Ovis aries: one gene and its partners. The protein of the gene in region 2 binds, or shares a complex with, the protein of the main gene of each other region. Links are inferred from orthologs where the notes say so. Each region holds a gene or a part of one and is shown on either strand. Other genes may lie near its edges.

Region 1 (4,758 bases), on a different chromosome or scaffold from region 2:
TTGACCAGTGATTGACTGCACGCTCCCTTCTCTCCCTTTTAGGAAAGTCCAGGAGGAAAAAGGATTTACGAATCTCCTGCATGTCCAAGCCGCCGGCGCCCAGCCCCACGTGAGTTGGCCTCTGGTGCTTCCTGGAAGGCCTCCTGCAGGGGCCACTGTGGGGGCCAGGCCGCCTGTGCGGGCGGCATCTTCTCCAAGCAGCTGCGGGGGCTGTGTGCCTCACATGTCCTCTCGGAGCTCTCCTTGCCTTTCTGAGGGCATGTCCATGTGACAGGCCATGTGCTGCCCCGCAGATGCTTGGTGACTGTGGGGGAGGGCGGGGACCCCCTTGAGAGGGCAGAGCTCTCTGGGGCTCACACCTCCGCTCTCCCCTGCAGGCTCCCCCGGAACCTGGACTCCCGGGCTTTCATCACCATTGGAGACAGGGTAGGTGTCAATAGACCCTGGGAGGTGTCTGTGGGTGGAGACAGAGCTGGGCTGTGGAGGGGGGCTGGCTCCCCGACGCTGACCAGGTGGCCCATCTGGTGGCTACCTCCTGGGCCCTGGGGAGCTAGAGTCACGGTGCTCAGTGTGCAGATCCCTGGCTCTGCCCAAAGGGCCTGCATTTCACTGGCACCTCCCGACGCCAGTGGTTCCCCTGGGAGGCCGTGTGCTGCCCACAGGACATGCTGACGAGTCTTGTTCATCTGCCTGCTTGCTTCCTCTGGCAGCAGGTCAAGAGGGAGGGTGGGCGACCAGGGCCCCGCTGCTCCCTGGGAGACAAGGCCTTTCTTTTGTCCTGTCTGTGTCCTCAGAGCCTGAAACAGGGACTTACACACTGTAGGTGATGAATAAGTGAGTCTGGCCACCTAAGAGGGTGGGGCGAGAGGAAAAGGGCATCTCTTTAGGGCCCAGCACCGCTGAGAGTGTTTCCCAGGCTGATGTGCTGACACCCTGTAGTAGCCTTCTGATGTGGGTGCTGTGCCTGTTTTAGAGAAGGTGAGGGGAGGCTCAGAGAGGTTACATGACTTACCCCAGGACACACAGCAGAAGTGGCTGGTGCAAGACTTGAGCACAGGTGACTGGCTGGTGATTCTCTTTCTGCTGCCCCAGCATCTCCACTGGTGCCTGACTTGGCCCTTCTGAACCCTCTCTCCTTTCTGTCCCCTAAGAACTTTGAGGTGGAGGCGGATGACCTGGTGACCATTTCAGAGCTGGGCCGAGGTGCCTATGGGGTGGTGGAGAAGGTGCGGCATGCCCAGAGTGGCACCATCATGGCCGTGAAGGTGAGCAGTGTCCCCGACCCAGGGCCATCAGAGCCGGGGGCACCTGGGGCTGCACCCCTGCGGCCCGGGCTCTAACCGCAGCCCCTCCCCCCGCAGCGCATCCGAGCCACCGTGAACTCTCAGGAGCAGAAGCGCCTGCTCATGGACCTGGATGTCAACATGCGCACAGTGGACTGTTTCTATACCGTCACCTTCTACGGGGCCCTCTTTAGAGAGGTGAGGAGACACAGCCAGCCTCCCCTCTGGCAGGGAGCCCAGGAGCTCGGGCTTACCCCAGGGGATGCTGCACCCAGCCTTCTCAGAAGGCTGTCCTGGATGGGGTGTGGGGGTGGGGACAGTATGTTGCCGGTGAAGGGACCCATCGGCCAGGGTCAGAGCTGGGATGAGCCGTGGAAGTAGGAGTCTGATGGGGGACAGCCAGTGTGACAGTCGGGGAAGGCTGCCGCGTGGACCCAGCAGTGTAGGCGAGCCTTGTCGGGGAGGGGCTGGGAGGTCAGAGAACCCCTGAGGGCTGAGGGGTGGAGGTGTGTCAGGGGCTGGCTGGCTCCATGGGGAGGATGCTGGGCCAGGTAGCCCTGGGCAGATGTGGCTGAACTATGGCTATCTACCTGCAGGGAGATGTGTGGATCTGCATGGAGCTCATGGACACGTCCCTGGACAAGTTCTATCGGAAGGTGCTAGACAAGGGCATGACGATTCCAGAAGACATTCTTGGGGAGATCGCTGTGTCTGTAAGTGGGGTTGGGGGGGTCCCAATGGTAGTGTTTTGGGCAGAGCTGGGCCCCCCGTGTGGCCTCCAGCTGTGGCCCTGCAGCTGGGCAGTTGCCCTTGGAAGCCCCAGGTGCCCCCACCCTGGACCAGAGCCTGCTCAGGAGACCCCAGGGCCCTGGAGCCACACCGATTTGGCAGAACCAGGATCTCTGGGCCTTCCTGTGCAGTTCCTGAGTTTTGAGGCCACAGAAGAGAACTTAGTGTTCACAGCTTCCTTATCCTGAAGATGCTTGGAGGCAGCTCGCAGAGGCATGTGGTCAGGGGAGAAAACCACGGGTCTTGAGCTTGCATGTCCTAGGGCAGGCGGCTCCCTGGGCATGAGCACCCAACAGCCAAAGCAGAAGGGGAATGGGGTCTGTGTACCTGTGGTCCTCATCCCTGACCGCAGCTGTGAACATGTAAACATACCCCCCCCGCCCAGGGCGTTGAGTCAGGATCTTTGGGGTGATTCCTGTGGGGAGTGGCTCTGAGCATGTAGCCCAGTGACTGCTGGTAGGGGAGGGGGCGGTGGATGCAAGCCCGCTGCAGAAGGGCCAGATTCTACCCAGGAGTCTGGTGGAGGGAGGGACAGCATTCTGGGGGTTCATAAGTCAGACTCGCCAGGGTCTTGGTCACATCACCTGAGACCCTGGCCCATTCAGAGCAGTGCAGGAACCAGGTGTATCAGTATCAGGGTGGCCAGGACATTACAGCAAAGGCTGGGATGTGGGCGGGAGCCTCAGGTGGTGAGGGGCTGGGTGTGACCTGGGAGAGGGCGACAGACCGCCCTGGCTGGGGAGCCTTCTGGCTCTGTCACTGTTGATGGACCTGTCTCTCTCCACCTCTCATCCCAAACACCAGATCGTGAGGGCCCTGGAACATCTGCACAGCAAGCTGTCCGTGATCCATAGAGGTCAGTGCCTGGACTGGCTGGGGAGGAGGGGCCTGGCCTCACGTACACGTCCCCATGGTCCTGCCGGGACCAGTGCCAAGGCTCTGGGAGGCGACAGGCCGCAATGTGCCCGCTGGGTCCAGGCCGCTGTCCACTCCTCTCAGCCATTTCTGTCAGCCCCCAGGCCCAGTCCCAGTTTTGTTCCCTGGTGCTCAGAGCACGGACAGGGTTGATCTTCATCCTGGGAAGGCCAGCCCATCTTGTCTTGACGTATTGTTTACGTGTTGAGGAGTGTGCAGGTGGGATGTGTACTGCTGCACGAATCCGATCATCGTTTATACTGGGTCACGCCCACCCTCCCCTCCCTTTCTTGCCCTGTGACGCCCCAGTCCCCGACTCCACTGATTTTCTCATGGGGGTTGGTTTTGCTTGTTCTCAGCCTCCCAGTTGGGCCAATGATTCTGAGACTCAGTGGGGCTGTGTGTGTCCTGCCTGTCCCCTCCCTCTGTGTTCTGAGGGGTCTGCTTTTCCACACAGAGTTCACTGGGCTAAGCCCCTTTGACCACTGAGTGGTCCCCAGGTCACTGCTATTGGCAGGTTTTCGTGGCCCCTTTGGGCGTCTCTCTGAGCCCCTGCAGATGTCCTTGTAAAAGGCAGGAGGGATGCACATGTCTCCCGTGCGTGTGCTTGCTGGACGGCCCCGCTGTGCCCCCTAGCTCACTCTGTGCCCACTCCATGTCCAGCTTGAGTCCTGGGGCTCTGGGATTTCCCACAGACCTGCCTCCCGTGTTTGAGCTGTTGCCTTGTGCTTCCTGGCCAAGACTGCCGACCCCTCAAGGTGGATATTGGGTGGTTTACAGTGCTCATACTGTTAGTGATGGGTTCCCTGCATTTGGGTGGACCCCAGAGCCAGAGGTTGCACTGGTAAGTGGAGGCTGAGTCCCAACTGTGAAGCTGCAAAGACACGGTCCTGGGGGAAGCCCTGGAGCTAACTTCTCTCCCCACCTGTGGCTGGAGGCTGGGGCTCCTGACTGTGTGGCTACCAGCTCTGACCTGGGCAGTGGGGGCCAACAACCAGTAGCTGAAAGGCGTGTCCTACTTCTGGCAGATGTGAAGCCATCCAATGTCCTTATCAACAAGGAGGGCCACGTGAAGATGTGTGACTTTGGGATCAGTGGTTACTTGGTGGATTCTGTGGCTAAGACAATGGATGCTGGCTGCAAACCCTACATGGCCGTAAGTGGGGTGCCCAGGTCATGCCCAGAGGAAACAGCCAGGCTCAGGCACCTTAGCTGTGTCCTGCTCCATCAGGAATGAGGCCTCCCCAGACCCCGAATTTCCTTCTAGAGGGAGTCTCCTGCTCAGCCCTCTCCACCCCTTTCTGACTGGCCCCACCGTGTCCATTTGGATGATAGGTTTCACCTCAGCGGGGTGGCTGGTGGGGCCTGTGGGAGTTGCTGATACCCCAAGGTGAGACCCCCAGGTGTGGCAGCTGTGTGGCAAGACTTAGGCTTCCACCTCGAGACCCCGGCCCTCACCAGCCTCAGCTTCCACACTTGCTCTGGGGGAGGTAGGATGGGTGAGCACTGGCCCCTACGTTTTGTGGGGGGCAACCAGACCCAGCTGAGGGGGCCTGGGTGACCCTGCTCTGGCTCCTCTTCCAGCCCGAGAGAATCAACCCAGAGCTGAACCAGAAAGGCTACAATGTCAAGTCTGATGTCTGGAGCCTCGGCATCACCATGGTACGTCCTGGGGCACCCTTGCTGGTCGGGTGGAGCACAGGTGGGGGCTGTGCCAGGTCTGTGAGCTTCTGGGGGCCAGATAGTCTAGCCTGGACAGAAGGGTTGGTTG
Region 2 (5,216 bases):
TATGGGAGACAGAGCCTCCGGCCCACTATCGCTGCAGCTCCGGGCTCTTTCTTCTCCTCCAATCTCAGCAGGGGCGTCAGGAATGGGCCCCAACAGCCTCGGGCCTCACACCCTGTGCCATCAGGTGTTTTAATGGTGTTTAAAAAAATAAAAGTCTCTCACTGTTTCCCCCATCTATTTGCCATGAAGTGATGGGACCGGATGCCATGATCTTCAATTTTTGAATGTTGAGTTTTAAGCCAGCCTTTTCACACTCCTCTTTCACTTTCATCAAGAGGCTCTTTAGTTGTTCTTCGCTTTCTGCCATAACGGTGGTGTCATCTGCATATCTAAGGTTATTGATATTTCTCCCAGCAATCTTGATTCTAGCTTGTGCTTCATCTAGCCCAGCACTTCGCTTGATGTACTCTGCATTTAAGTTAAATAAGCAGGGTGACAATATACAGACTTGATAGTACTCCTTTCCCAATTTGGAACCAGTCTGTTGTTCCATGTGGGGTTCTACAGTTGCTTCTTGACCTGCATACAGATTTCGCAGGAGGCGTTTTCCTTCCCAGGGATTTGGGGTGGGGAAAGCTTGGGTGGGGCGAGGGCTGGTGAGAAGCCGACTGGCCGGCCTCAGATTGCTGGGGCCTAGGACAGGACGGCGCAGGGTGTGGGGCCAGAGGCGGTTGGGGCCCTTTCCTGACGCCCCCGCCGAGACTGGAGGAGAAGAAAGAGCCCGGAGCTGCAGCGATAGAGGGCCAGAGGCTCTGTCTCCCATACAAACAGGAAGTATCCACAAAATCCCCACTCTGGTAGGAACTTGACTAGATCAGGGTTTCACAAAAGATAGTCGCTTGCATCTTCACATTTTTGTGGGGCATATCGTTTGTAAGTATTTTAAGTTGATATAAAAATATGAATATGTGTAAAAGTACACTAATCTTCATTGTACACTGGATGAATTTTCACCGTCTAAGTCTATACCTTTGTTATCTACCATCCAGATCAAAATACCAAACGTACCCAGCACCCGCCCTACACTTTCCAGCCAATAATGCTTCTCTCTCTAGGTAACCACTGTTCTTGCCTTGATTACAATCAATTTGCACATCTCTGAACTTATATCAAGTTCATATAAAGTGTGTCCATTTTTTACGTAAAGTTTTTCTCTAAGTAGATTCATTTTTATCTAAGAAACAACATAAATGAAATAATCGTTTGATGTGATAGGTGTTTCTCCCCAATATACACTAAAACGCACAACTTGCAAAATGAGCTTCTTCGTGTACCAAGAGACCACATTTTGTTTCTCAAAAGCGACCAGATGATTTTTTATGTCCTTGCAACTTGAAGATTTGCGGTGAAAAGCCCAAAGTTCACGGAATACCCTGTCACAATCCCGATGCCATCATACGCCAGCGACCCATCTAACTAAAACACTTGTTGAATACCTAGCAGCGACTCTCAAAGGCACTGCGCTCCACTCTCTGGAAAAGACCCCACTTTCTGATTTCAAGGGGAGGGAAAGAGAAGAGTAAATCATCTCAGGGTGTGTTATGGTAAGTGCTGCCGCTCAGGTGAGCACCCTGACACAGAGGAAGGGCGGTTTCCGGAGTCAGGGAGCAGAGGAGAGGGTGGGTGAGCATATCAGTCGGCACCTCCACCAGCCACCCGACTTTGATCACTTCGCCGGAGCGCAGCAGCTGCCGTCAACCTCAGCCTTCCTTAGCAACCTGAGGGGCCGCCCAGGCGCCTTCCTATTAGCCGGGAGGGGTTTGATGGGCAGCTCTGCCGCGCAACCCCGGCGCGCAGCTCCTGGCGCCGCGCTCACTCACGGCGGGCTCGGAGGCGTTACCGCCCCCTGGGTGTCCCGCCCACCTCCCTAGCGGCGCGCGGCGCATGCGCGGGCGGTTTGGGGCTGTGGGCAGGGCTAGCGCCGAGCCGGAGCAGCTGCGGAGAGGCTCCTGGGCTCCGCCGAGGTCGCCGCTCCCGCTCCTCGCTTCGGCCGCCGCAGTTTCCAAGCCGCCGCCGGGGGAGCGGCCGCTTATTGTCTTTCTCCGCGGCCAAGGTGCGGAGCTGCTCCAGCTCGGCCCGCGGGGGAGCCCCGGGCACCGCACGGTGAGAGCGCGATTGAACTCGGCGGAGTTGGGGGAAGTTTTGCGGTTAGAGGAGGGGTCGCGGCGGGGATCGCGGGCCGCTCCGGGAGGGGGCGCGGGGCTGCTGGGGTGCGGCCGGGGGCGCGCGCGGGCTGGGATGCATGGGCGCGCGGGATCGCCCCCCGGCTCCCCGCGCCTCAGCCCGGGCCCCCCATCACGCATTGTCTGCCCGGGGCCGCGGCGCGCCTCGCCGCTCCCGCAGCCCAACCCCGGGGCCGCCTCCGCTCCCGGGTTGGGGGGGCGCGGCCGGTCCCGCCCGGCTGCGATGGCCCCTTCCCGCGAGGCATCCCGGCGGGGCCCGGACCTCCGGGTCGGCTCCTCCGGGAGCGGGGGCCGCAGTCGCCCCCCGCCCCCGGGAGCTGCGGCTGCTCCGCGGGTCCCACCGGTCCGGGTGCCGGCGAACAAGTGCCGAGGACTCGAGGGAGCGGCTCTCGGGGGCTGCGGCGAGCGGTAAACACGCCGGGCCGGGCCGGCCTCGCGGGGGCGCCCTGGGCGCCTGCTCCCGGGGGCGCGGCCGGGGCGCCCGCGCGGGTCGGAGACGTGCAGCCCGGGGGGGACCCGCCTTGGGACCGTGGCCTGGGCTCCGCTCTTGTCGAGTTCAAGTGCAGCCAAACTTTGAAACCAAAGAATACTTTTTTTTTTTTGGTAAATACCACTTACTGAACCCCTTTTCCTTCCCCCCTCTTCCCCCCCCACCAAAGTCAACCAGTAGGTTAAACTTTTAAATAAATATGGGGGAAGTCCTCAAGAGTTTTTCTATCAGAAGAAAGGATAGGGTTTTGTTTTTTTTTGGTAATAGTGCTTAGAACAAAATGACTCCGTAGCATTTAGTTTTCTAGATCTTAACTGTGAACTCAGAAGTTCACAAATGTAAGTTGGATTGAGCAATACTTGGTGTTCAGTCTGAGCTTTTTAACACTCCTCAGTGAAGTTATTTTGAGAGTTTGTTGCCGCAGGCATACGGAACTAAAGTAAAAAACAGTGCCTTTTTTTCTCGTTCAGCAACCCCCTCCCCCGTTTTATTTTCATAAGTGACTTTTTCTATTTTTTTTTTTTAAATCGTTGGATCCCCCAGATCAGGATAAACGCTGGAAAAATCACTTGGAAGAATCGTTTTCAGCAAGTTTGTAAAGGAACTGTGATAAATCATTGTTACAGTCCCGTAGCCTTCCGTGGTCTCTTGGGGATTTGCAGACGGCAAGCCCTGTTGTCAAGCTTTGGGTGCTTCGTTCTGCTGAATTCAGTTCATTTGGCTTATGAAGTCAGAATGATTCTGTTTAAATCCCCACGGTGGATCCAGCATAAATGTCTGTCAAATTGCGTGGTGGAAGAAAATGACCAGAATGTGTTTCTATCCATTGTTTTGTATTCCTTTGCCGTCTGTTAAATTAACAAGTAAACTTCGAACCAAACACCGTGCGGGTCAGTTTGCCTTTGGATTGGTTTCTCCTGCTGAGTGACCGATGTGAGGTGTGCCCTGGGTTTTTCTGGTTTCTTTGGCCTCATTTTGCAACTGTGTTCACCTGCCAAAGCTAAAGAAAAATGTCCTGATGGCATAAGCTTGGATTTTTGAAGTACAGCCACAAGGTTGGTTTTAGGAGTCATAATCCTTGCCCTTTGGGTTTTCCTTCCCAAAGTTGTGCAGCTTTAGATGGCTTGTATGTAGGGGGTGGGGTGGGGGCTGGGAGGAGGGGTTGACAGAGGTTGAAAGGAGTTGTCAGGGAGGGACAAAATGTAAACAAACACTGCTTAGAACCTTAAGTGACAAGCAGATCAGTTCCTCTGCCTCTCTGATAGCATGTTATACATATCTTTTTTAAGGGTTTCTTGCACTTTATTTTTTTTAAATCTTTTTTTTAGGGTTTCTTGCACTTCATTTTTTTTTGCCTAACGACTAGTTACTGCATATGTAATATAAATGGACTCCTTTTCCAGCCTGTTGACTCCGCAGGGCTGTGATGAGTCTCAGCTGTGTGCCTCTTTGCCCAGGAGTCTTAGCACAGGTGCTCAGGAGGTATTTGTATTGGGCGAAGTGGCTTGATTGGTACTTCACCCAAACATGGGACCCAGAGAACCACTGAACCTGAGGACTCGTTCACGGTGACAGCTTACTTGCAGGCCTGTAATGCGATTTACTGTACTTCATACAAGGATGTCTGACCTTTCCTGTTAACCCGTTAATTACTTCTTGAAAAGAATCGAGGTTTAAATCGTGTGCTGTGGATTTTGTAAAGTGGTTTCTGATTGGGGAAATTTCTCCCTTTTTTGTTGAAATGGCTAAGACTGCCCGGCACATCCATTCATTCACTCCCCTGCCTGTTTATACCTCTGTTGTGACCTGGGGAGGTAGCACAGTGTAGAAGAACGCACATTCTTTGGAATTAGGTAAATTTGAATTCAAATCCCCACCCTTCCGTTGATTAGGTGGGTAGCCTTGACCTGGGTAGGCAGGTCCCTTATCCCCTCTGAGCTTCGGCTTCCTACCGTGTAAGGTATAGTAACATACTTTAGAGCCTTCTTAGAAATAAATGAAGCTGTGTGATGATCGTCATAGTATGCCTGCTATCTGGTAGCTGTAATGACAGTGATTTGGGTACTTTTTTGAATGATTTAAAGCATGTTTAAAAGTCTGATGCATCTGAGCATACTGGTTTCTCTGTTTTACATAAAGAGGGAACGCTTCTCAGGACACTCAAAACCGGTGCTGTGGGACAGCCCAGAGGGATGGGGTGGGGAGGGAGGTTGGGGGGGGGATTCAGCATGGGGGACACATGTCCACCCGTAGCTGATTCATCTTGATGTGTGGCAAAAACCACCACAATATTGTAAAGCTTTCAATTAAGATAAATTAATTTTTTTTTAAAAAGAAATGCACAGTGGCTGTTGTGAAATAATATGTGGTATTCCTACTGATAGTAATATATATAATTATTTGTTATGTTTTGATTTGTTAATTCTACAAAAGTAGTGCCCCTAGTATAACAGTTAAAAAAAAAAGAGGGAATGCTTCTGGGAATTGAGTCTTAAATGCAATTTTTTAAAAGGTGAAGTTGAGCTGAACGTTAATAGAATTAG
Region 3 (4,758 bases), on a different chromosome or scaffold from region 2:
AGAACTTGAGAGGTCTGTGTTTTGGGTTAGTATAGCATCTCAGTTGAGAGCAGGGCCCTGGAGCCAGACTGACCAAGGTTTGGATCCAGCATCCCTGAGACCTGAATCCTCACAGTGACTTCTGTTTTCTGTGTCTCTGTTTTCCCTTCTATGAAATGGAGAAAGTAATTACAGCTCATAGCTCATAGGTAGTTGTGATGATTAGAAAGTGAAAGTTGCTCAGTCATGTCCAGCTCTTTCTGATGCCATGGACTGTAGTTCATGAAATCCTCCAGGCCAGAATACTGGAGTGGGTAGCCTTTCCTTTCTCTAGATGATCTTCCCAACCCAGGGATCGAACCAGGGTCTCCTGCATTGCAGGCGAATTCTTTACCAGCTGAGCTACCAGGGAATCCCAAGAATACTGGAGTGGGTAGCCTATCCCTTCTCCAGGGGATCTTCCTGACCCAGGAACTGAACCAGAGTCTCCTGCATTGTAGGCAGATTCTTTACCAGCTGAGCTGCCGCGGAAGCCCTGTGACGATTAAACAAGTTAATATACATAGAAAGCTGGCATAGTATCCCAGGTTCTTTCCATAGTGGACTTAGTGCCCTAGAGATGGTGGATAAATCACATAAGTTCTCAGCGTGTTGATCCTGTTTGTCCAGTCCTCCAAGGAAGGATTTGCTGGGGGAAATCCCTATGGGGGGAAATTGGGAAAGGGAGCTGGAGGGGGAGGCTGGGAGAGCCGCAGGTCTGACCGTGAGGGAGAGAGAGAGGGAAGGAAGGTTGTCAGGAGGAAGCATCTTGGACCCCAGTGCAGTTTGGAGAGAAGACAGAGGCTGCTGGGGAGTCCTCCAGCCAGTGTGCCTGACAGAGGAGGCTCAGGTCTCCCAGTCCTGGGCTGGGAGCAGCCCGTGGGAAGCAGGCCTTGGGGCAGAGGGAGCACTGGACTTGCCAGCACAGCAGCTGGGGCCCTTGGTCACCCAGGAAGGTCAGAGGTCTGTCAGCTTAAAGTGAATGAAATTTCTTTGAAAGATGAAACTGGCAGTATTATTCCAGGAAGCCTGGAGCTGTGGGTGAGAGTTCCGGGGACCTCCCTGAAACTCTCTGAGGTGCCCGAATTTTGCCGAAACCCCCTCCTCCGCCCTTGCCTGAAGGCTTAGCAGGATCCCTTTCTTTCTTTCAGCCACCAGAGCGCCACCCCCCAGGCACTTTCAAAACAGGTAGATGCCACCTGCAGCCACCGTGGATGGGGCAGGCTGCGGGAGGAAAGCAGGGTCCAGCGCCCGCCCGCAGTCAGAGGAGAGGGTGGAGGAGTGAGTCACTCTCCCTCCCTGGGGAAGCCACCTCCCTGGACTGTCGTGGTTCCTGCTCCTACCTGTCACAGCGCTTTGCAGAACAGGCCCTTGCATGCCTCTCCCCTTGCTGGTGGAAAATGAAGTCGCAGGAGCATTCAGTGAGCCCCCGAGCTGCAGCAGCACACGCCGCGTCTCCAGCTGGAGCTGGAGGACTGGTCCCTGTTTCTCTGCCTGGGCCACACTCCCTGTGCACCCCCCTCCCCAGGCCCGGGTCTTGGGGCCCAGTAAGGGTCCTCCTGCCCCGCTCTCTGTCTCAGTCTCTCTTCTGTCTTCCCTTCCAGGCTAGGAAACAACCACATCACAGCCGCGGGAGCCGAGGTGCTCGCCCAGGGTCTCAGAACTAACAACTCCTTGCAGTTTTTGGGGTAGGTGGGATTCTAGGGTAGAGGGGCAGCACGCAGGGGTTGAGGGCTTGTGAGGATTTAGGAGCCTGTGAAACCAACTCTTCAGCCCCAAGATCTCCGAGACAACCCCCACCCCCTCACCCCCCCTCCCGCCTCCACCCCCCCTCCTGCCTCCACCCCCAACTCTCGCCTCCACCCCCTGCCCAGGCTGCAATGGGGAGGGAGAGCGTGGGCAGCCCTTGTTGCCTCTGCCTTGCTTTTTGCTCAATAAACAGGAAGCTCAGGATGTCAGGGTTGGGGGAGGGCAGAGCCCAGAGCAGTGGCAGGAAGCCCTCTGGTCCTCCAGAGCGCTGGAGCTGTGTTTCTTACCTTGGTCTATATGTGGGAACCACTGGGCTCCTGAAGAAGGCCACTATCTGCCCCAGGCTAATTAAATGAATTATCTACATGCAAGGTCTGGAATCAGTAATGTAAAAAAGCTTACCAGATGATGTGCAGCCTGGGGTGAGAGCCAAGGAGAGAAGGAAGTGGGGAAGTTTGGACCCTGGACCTTGGATGGGAGGAGGCTGCACCAGGTCCTACAGAGCCCTGGCTTCCTGTGGGGTCATGCCAGGCAGGGGAGAGGGGTCGGACACAGGCGGGAAGGGCAGTCCACAGACCTCCGGGCCCCAAGTGGGGCTTTCTCTGTTTGCTGGGCAGACAGGCTTGTACCTGTCCAGTCCCCTGGAGCTTCTTTCCTGTTCCATCTTGCCCTGGTGTAAACTAGGGTCTATTTGAAAACAAAACAAAACAAAAAAAAAAAAGGGGGGGATTTTAGAACCCAAGACTGTAGGAAGAATGACTTTAGAGCCTAGGTGTTCCAACTCATTTTACAGACAGGCAAGTTGCCCGTGGGCTGTGTTTGAGCCCCGAGTGGGACTGTGTTGCTGGAGAGATAAGACCTTGTCCAAAATGCATTAGTAGCATCACAGAGTCTAGGAGAGGGTGGCCGCGGCCCCCACTGAGCTCCTTCCTTCTTGAGATCACATCTGGGGTGTTTAGCTTTCAACACCTGTTTATGAAGGTACCTGTCTGGTCTTGGTCTTGTGCTAAAACCCTCAAGCACTATCACGTGATACAAACTGTTATGTAACTTGCTTTTTTCTTAACACTGTATTATTATACTGTATTATAACACTGTATTATTTTGTTCATATCACATGACCTCACTTTTAAAAAGAATAGCTGCTCAGTATTCCAGTGGTTTGATGTCGTGATGTGTTTAGTTGGTGTCATGCACACTTTAGGTTGTGGGCAGGTTTTTGCTATTACAGTGTCACACCCTGGAGTGTAGAGTGGTGCTGGCATGGGGCCAGAGCTCAGTAAGTGTTCACCTTATGAGTGAAAGTGCAGTGAGCATCCCAGTCCTCTCTGCCCATGTGGGCACCTCCGGGTCCATCCTCACTTCCCACATGGGAAATGGCCAGGTGCCAAAGTATGAGCTGGGCTCCATCTTTGAAGGGGGTGTTTCCCAATTAGGGTGGGTCTGAGGAGGAGAAGCCAGAAGGTGAAGGAGCTTGAGGCTCCAAAGGAACTGGAGGCTCTGAAGGAACTGGGGATATAACAGAGGAGCAAGAGATGAAGAACTAGTGTTTGGAAGAAGAGTTCGCCTTCTTCTGGGTGGTCCTAGAGATAGCGAGGGACTCCTGGGTGGCAGTGAGCACAAGCAGGTCTAACCCAATGTCGGAAAATGTCACAACTGTGACTTGGCATTGAGAATGAGTCCCCATCCCTGAGAATATGCACTGGGTGGGCCTCTAACTATTTTGAAAGTCTGATTTAAAGAAACCAAAAAGTCTAATTGAAGTTTTTCCATCCCTCCAAAAAGATGGAGGCAGGCTCACTTTGCTGGGACCTGAGTCCCCCTGAGACCTTTCTGGGACTGGGGAGTCCTGCTCCTCTGCCTGGGGCTGCAGAGAGGAGGGGCACGTGTCTTGAACACAAAGCAGGTTCTCACTGACACTGTTTATTCTGTTGAACCTTTCAGGTTCTGGGGCAACCAGGTGGGTGACGAGGGGGCCCAGGCCTTGGCTGCAGCTTTGGGTGATCACCAGAGCTTGAGGTGGCTCAGGTAAGCCTCAGAGTTCGTCCTGCAGTTGGTGGGGGAAGCCAGTGTGAGGAGGGAGGAGCTTGGGCCAGTTTTGAAGGTCTGTGAACTTTATTTTCACCCCACTGTGTTAGATAACGGGATGAGAAGGAAAGAGCACTGGAGTTGAAGTCAGGACACCGGAGTCTTGCTGGGTGACGTTGGATCCCTTTTCCTCTCAGGAGTCTTGATTCCCTGTCTGTACTCAGAAGATCTTGGGCTGGATCAGATAGTTTAGTCGCTCAGTCGTCTCTGACTCTTTGAGATCCCATAGACTGTAGCCCGCCAGGCTCCTCTGACCATGGGGTTCTCCAGGCAAGAACACTGGAATGGGTTGCCATTTCCTCCTCCAGGGGATCTTCCCAACCCAGGGACTGAACCTGGGTCTTCCACATCTTCTGTGTCTCCTGCATTGCAGGCGGATTCTTTATCCACTGAGCCACTGGGGAAGCTCTGGACCAGATACACTTTTTAAAAATCATTGTTTCCTTTAGGCTGTCCTGCGTCTTTGTTGCTTTTCTCTAGTTGTAAAGAGCGGGGGGCTGCTCTCTGGTTGCAGTGCAGGGTTGCTTTCCTCTAGTTGTAAAGGGCGGGGGCTGCTCTCTGGTTGCAGTGTGGGGGCTTCTCTTGTCGTGGAGCACGGGCTCTAGGGCACGCGGGCTCAGTGGTTGCTGCACGTGGGCTCTAGAGCACAGCCTCAATAGTGTCATAAGGGCATATGGGATCTTCCTAGACCAGGCATTGGACCCGTGTCTCCTGCACTGGCCGGTGGAGTCTTTACCACTCAGCCGCCAGGGAAGCCCTGGATCAGCTACACTTTATCTCAAGAGTCAATTCCAGTCTGTTAGTGGGAGCTGCTCAGCAAACCATGTTGGGAAGGATTCTAAAAAACTGCTTCTGGACTTAATGAGAAAGAGCACTGCAAAGGATTAGTCTGAAATGGAGCAG
Region 4 (4,758 bases), on a different chromosome or scaffold from region 2:
AGAGGAACCTGGTGGGCTACAGTCCATGGGGTTGCACAGAGTCGGACACGACTGAAACGATAGCACATAGCGCAGCACAGACAAGGTATATGTCGGTGTCTGTAATATCAGTCTTACCCGTGTGTGGCAGTGTGATGGCATCTCTGTAAGAGTGTGTGGATATGTGTGTTCTAAGGCCTACACTAGTGACAAAGTGACAATGCCATTGTCACCCTCTAAGTGACAGTCTGATGACATCTATCTGACACCATTCCTGTTCCTCCAACTACGTTGTATTTCGTGGTGTGGGTGGTCACCGTTCATTCACTCAGACCCCTACTAGAGGAAGTGAGGTATCTTCCAATGTTTTGCTCTTAAAAAAAAAAGGCTATGAATAACCACGTATAATACATATATCAAGGGAAATTTCCTGGCAGTCTAGCGATTAGGACTCTGCACTTCCACTGCAGGGGAGGTGGGGGTGCAATTCAGTTCCTAGTCAGGGAACTAAGATCCCATATGCTGCATGGTATGGCCAAACAAGAACAAAAACAACACGTATCAAGTGCAAAGCTGTTTCTGTGGGATAAAGTACCTGAACTGAGATTGCTAAATCAAAAGGTAGATACATTTATAATTCTGACAGAAATCACCAAACTGCCTCCATTGGTTGGAAAGCAACTTGTATTCCCGTCAGCAGCGTATCTGTTCTTAAATGTGTGTTTTATTTTCGTTTATTTATTTGGCTGCATTGAGTCTTAGTTGGGGCACACAGGATCTTCATTGCATCATATGGGGTGTTTCCTTGCGGTACACAGACTCTCCAGTTGTGGTGCGCAGGCTCAGTAGTTGTAGGGACGTGGGCTTAGTTGCTCCGGAGCATGTGGGATCTTAGTCCCCTCACCAGGGATCAAACCTTCATCCACTGCAGTGGAAGGCAGGTTCTTAACTGCTGGACCACCAGGGAAGTTCCCTAAATATGTGTTGTGTGTCTGTATATAAGACTGCCCCTGGGTGGCAGCTTAACTACATCCCTGGGATTGGCTCTGTGGGGGATGGTGTCTGGATAAAAGAGTGACAGCATCCGGGTGCATGTGTGGCTGTCTGCCCATGGGTGACAGTGTGACTGTCCCCATGACCCCCTATCTTGGGAGGGAGTGATGCTTGTTGACGGCTATCTGTCCCTGGCCAGTGCCCTTACTACAGATGGCTGCATGTCTCTAGAACCAGGATGGTTGGAGACAGCCCAGGGCTCAGGCTGGCCTCACTGCCTCGTGTCTCACGCCCACAGGGAGTCCGGACCTGGGGGCAGTGGAGCTGCGCATCGAGGAGCTGCGTCACCACTTCCGAGTGGAGCACGCGGTGGCCGAGGGCGCCAAGAACGTGCTGCGCCTGCTCAGCGCCGCCAAGACTCCGGACCGCAAAGCCGTCAGCGAGGTGAGGGGCGGGGCGTCGACCCGGAGAGGTGGGGCTTCAGCAAGGGATGGGGACTCCTGTTTCAAGTCGGACCCAGATGATTTGAGGGCTGGGGCTTCCGGGGAGGAGCTCCAGGTGGGACCTCGCGGGCCTGGGGGAGGGGCGCGCCGGATCCCGTCCCCAGCCCGGCCAGGCTTCTCCCACCTCAGGCCCAGGAGAAGCTGACCGAGTCCAACCAGAAGCTGGGGCTGCTTCGGGAGGCGCTGGAGCGGCGGCTTGGGGAGCTACCCGCTGACCACCCGAAGGGGCGGCTGCTGCGCGAGGAGCTCGCCGCGGCTTCCTCCGCAGCCTTCAGCGCCCGCCTGGCCGGGCCGTTCCCCGCCACGCACTACAGCACCCTGAGCAAGCCTGCGCCACTCACAGGTAGGTCCCTACACCTCCCGTGTCCTCCCCCGCTTCCACCCAAATCAGGACCCCACCCCCCTAGCTCTAGACTCCTGCCCCTCTGAGCCCCCAGCCCCAAACCTGCAACTGGGATCTTCATTCTCCCCAGTCCTGGACTCCCATCCCACTGTCCCCTCCCTTCTCCATTCACCCCAACCCTGTAGCCCTGGGCCCCATTCCCCACGCCAGACAGACCCATGGACCCTAGACTTCCCACCCCACCTTGCCCTCCCAGAGACTCTTGCCCTTGTCTCCCCATCCTTGATCCTTGGGTGGGAAGATTCCCTGGAGATGGAAATGGCAACCCACTCTAGTATTCTTGCCTGGGAAATTCCATGGACAGAGGAGCCTGGTAGTCTGTAGTCCATGAGGTCGCAAAAGAGTCAGACACAGCTGAGTGACTAAACAACAACAGCAAGAATAGTCCCATCCTCACTTTCCCCATCCCACCGTGAAGGGGTGGCTTTCTGCTCTCTCCAGCCAGAGTCCTCGATTTCAGTCTCATAGTCCCTCACTCTCAGAATCCTCAGTCCTGAACCTCTGACCCCCCCACCCCCAGACTAGCCAGCCCCTCCCTTCTTAGATCCCTCAGCCACTACCTCCCCAGACCAGTCCTATCATAGACCCCAGCCCCAGTGTCAGATCTCAGACTAGCCTACCGAATCCTACCCTGGACCCCCCCAGTCCTACCTGGCTCACCACCGCCTGGACTTCCGGCCTGCACTCTGAACTGCTCTTCTGTCACTAAACCTCAGCATCTAGAGCCCTTCCCCAGACTGCCCCACCCCTCCCCCTTGTCCCCTGTTTCTCTCTTCTGGACACAGCCATCTCTGCAGCAGACCCCCTGCCTCACCCCGATTGTCCCTCACCAACTCCCCCTTGCACGCTGGCCACTTCTGCACATGCCCACTGCACCTGCAACCTTTGTCCTGCCCCAGATGTAACCCACCCCATGAGCCTGCCCCTCTCTCAGGGACCCTGGAGGTGCGTGTGGTGGGCTGCAGAGACCTTCCAGAGACCATCCCTTGGAACCCTTCACCTTCGGTGGGGGGGCCTGGGACCCCTGACAGCCGCACCCCCTTCCTGAGCCGCCCAGCCCGAGGTCTTTACAGCCGAACCGGAAGTCTCAGCGGCAGGAGCAGCCTCAAAGCTGAAGCCGAGAACACCAGTGAGTGGCACTGATGTCCGGGAGGGATGAGGTGGGGTAGGCTGGGGGTGGTTCCTGATTTCCCACATCGGTAACATTCTGAAAAAGTCGTTCATCACACTCATTAGGATGGATACTGTAAAATAGAACAAGATAAAGTAACAGGTGTTAGGGAGGATGTGGAGAAGCTGGAAGGCTTCTACACTGTTGGTGGGAATGTAAAATTGTGTGGCCACCGTGGAAAGCAGCATGGCAGGTCCTCACATAATGAACATAGAACTACCATAGATCTAATATTCCTACTCAAAAGAGTTGGAAGCCGGATCTCAAAGAGATTTTGGTATACACCCATGTTCATAGCAGCATTATTCACAGTGGTCAAAAGGCAGAAGCAACCCAGTGTCTGTTGATGGATGAATGGATAAACAAATTGTGGTCCATCCACACAGTGGATTCCAGAGAAGTCTATTCTGTAGAAATGGATTCTATTCTAGACAAATATATCTATAACGATGGTAAATTTTATGTTACAAGTTTTACCACAATGTGAAAAGAAGTGAATACACACGTTCAAAAGTATGAGTAAAAGAAGACTAACACTAAAGTAACTGCCTATGTTACCACTACTCAGGTCAAGAAATAGAATTCTCTGGATTTTTCAGCCTTAAAAAAGGACATTCTGAAACATGCCGCAACATGGATGAACTTGAGTACATCAGTGAGATAAACCAGCTGTAAAATGACAAGTGGGCTTCCCCGGTGGCTCAGTGGTAAAGAATCCGCCTGCCAGTGCAGGAGACCCGAGTTTGATCCCGGAGTTGGGGAGATTCCCCCGAGAAGAAAATGACAACCCACTCCAGTATCCTTGCCTGGGAAATCCCATGGACAGAGAAGCCTGGTGGGCTACAGTCCATGGGGTCACAAAAGAGTCGGATATGACTTAGCAGCTGAGCATGAGGGATACTTCTTGTCTTTTTGTTGTTGTTTAGTCCCTAAGTTGTGTCCGACTCTTTTGCAACCCCATAAACTGTAACCTGCCAGACTCCTCTGTCCGTGGGATTTCCCAGGCAAGAAAGCTGGAGCAAGTTGCCATTTCCTTCTCCGAGGGATCTTCCCAACCCAGGGAGTGAATCCCTGTGTTCAACCCATGTGCCTGCGCCTTCTGCATTGGCAGGCAGATTCTTCACCACTGAGCCACCTGGGAAGCCGACAAGTAGTGTAGGATTCTACTTACATGAAGTATCTACGTTGGTTACATTCATAGGGATGGAAAGAATAGTGGTTGCCAGTGGTTGAGGGGGAGGCGAAATGGAGAGTTATTGTTTACCAGGGACAGAGTTTCATGGGAAAGACGAAGAGTTCTGGAGATAACGGTGGTGATGATTGCACAACAGTATAAACGTACTTGGTACCACTGAGCTGTATGCTTGATAATGATGGTAAATTTCATGTGAGTTTTACCACAATGTGAAAAGAAACGAATGCACACGTGTAAAAGTATGAATAAAAGAAGAATGACAGTAGAGTAACCGCCTGTGTTACCACCACCCAGGTCGAGAGATAGAATTCTCTGGAAGCCCTCTCATGCCCCCTCCTCAATTCCAGCCCCTTCCTCTGTCCTAGAGGTAGCTACTCTCCTCACTCTCACCGCTGTCATTGCCTCGCCTTTCTTTGTAGTTTAAGCGCCCATGTACCATCTCAGAGCAATGCAGTTTAATTTGCCTGTGTTTAAACTGCACATATGTGGAATCATGCAGAATGTATTCCATGGA

Evidence for each region.
Region 1: AKAP13 (region 2) and MAP2K3 share a complex: the UniProt entries of both Homo sapiens proteins name them as parts of the signaling complex. The link is inferred for Ovis aries from reciprocal best matches to the Homo sapiens genes AKAP13 and MAP2K3.
Region 3: AKAP13 (region 2) and NOD2 share a complex: the UniProt entries of both Homo sapiens proteins name them as parts of the signaling complex. The link is inferred for Ovis aries from reciprocal best matches to the Homo sapiens genes AKAP13 and NOD2.
Region 4: AKAP13 (region 2) and PKN1 share a complex: the UniProt entries of both Homo sapiens proteins name them as parts of the signaling complex. The link is inferred for Ovis aries from reciprocal best matches to the Homo sapiens genes AKAP13 and PKN1.

What each region holds. Positions count from the first base shown.
Region 1 is NC_056064.1:35,006,486-35,011,243, forward strand, and holds part of MAP2K3 (dual specificity mitogen-activated protein kinase kinase 3), read left to right. Parts: intron 1-42; coding exon 43-109; intron 110-377; coding exon 378-426; intron 427-1,151; coding exon 1,152-1,265; intron 1,266-1,361; coding exon 1,362-1,481; intron 1,482-1,879; coding exon 1,880-1,996; intron 1,997-2,876; coding exon 2,877-2,928; intron 2,929-4,015; coding exon 4,016-4,143; intron 4,144-4,571; coding exon 4,572-4,649; intron 4,650-4,758. UniProt on the Homo sapiens protein: Dual specificity kinase. Is activated by cytokines and environmental stress in vivo. Catalyzes the concomitant phosphorylation of a threonine and a tyrosine residue in the MAP kinase p38.
Region 2 is NC_056071.1:15,616,756-15,621,971, forward strand, and holds the start of AKAP13 (A-kinase anchor protein 13), read left to right. Parts: upstream 1-1,911; 5' UTR 1,912-2,103; intron 2,104-5,216. UniProt on the Homo sapiens protein: Scaffold protein that plays an important role in assembling signaling complexes downstream of several types of G protein-coupled receptors.
Region 3 is NC_056067.1:18,635,118-18,639,875, forward strand, and holds part of NOD2 (nucleotide-binding oligomerization domain-containing protein 2), read left to right. Parts: intron 1-1,622; coding exon 1,623-1,706; intron 1,707-3,711; coding exon 3,712-3,795; intron 3,796-4,758. UniProt on the Homo sapiens protein: Pattern recognition receptor (PRR) that detects bacterial peptidoglycan fragments and other danger signals and plays an important role in gastrointestinal immunity.
Region 4 is NC_056058.1:9,635,182-9,639,939, reverse strand, and holds part of PKN1 (serine/threonine-protein kinase N1), read left to right. Parts: intron 1-1,270; coding exon 1,271-1,416; intron 1,417-1,604; coding exon 1,605-1,818; intron 1,819-2,812; coding exon 2,813-3,007; intron 3,008-4,758. UniProt on the Homo sapiens protein: PKC-related serine/threonine-protein kinase involved in various processes such as regulation of the intermediate filaments of the actin cytoskeleton, cell migration, tumor cell invasion and transcription regulation.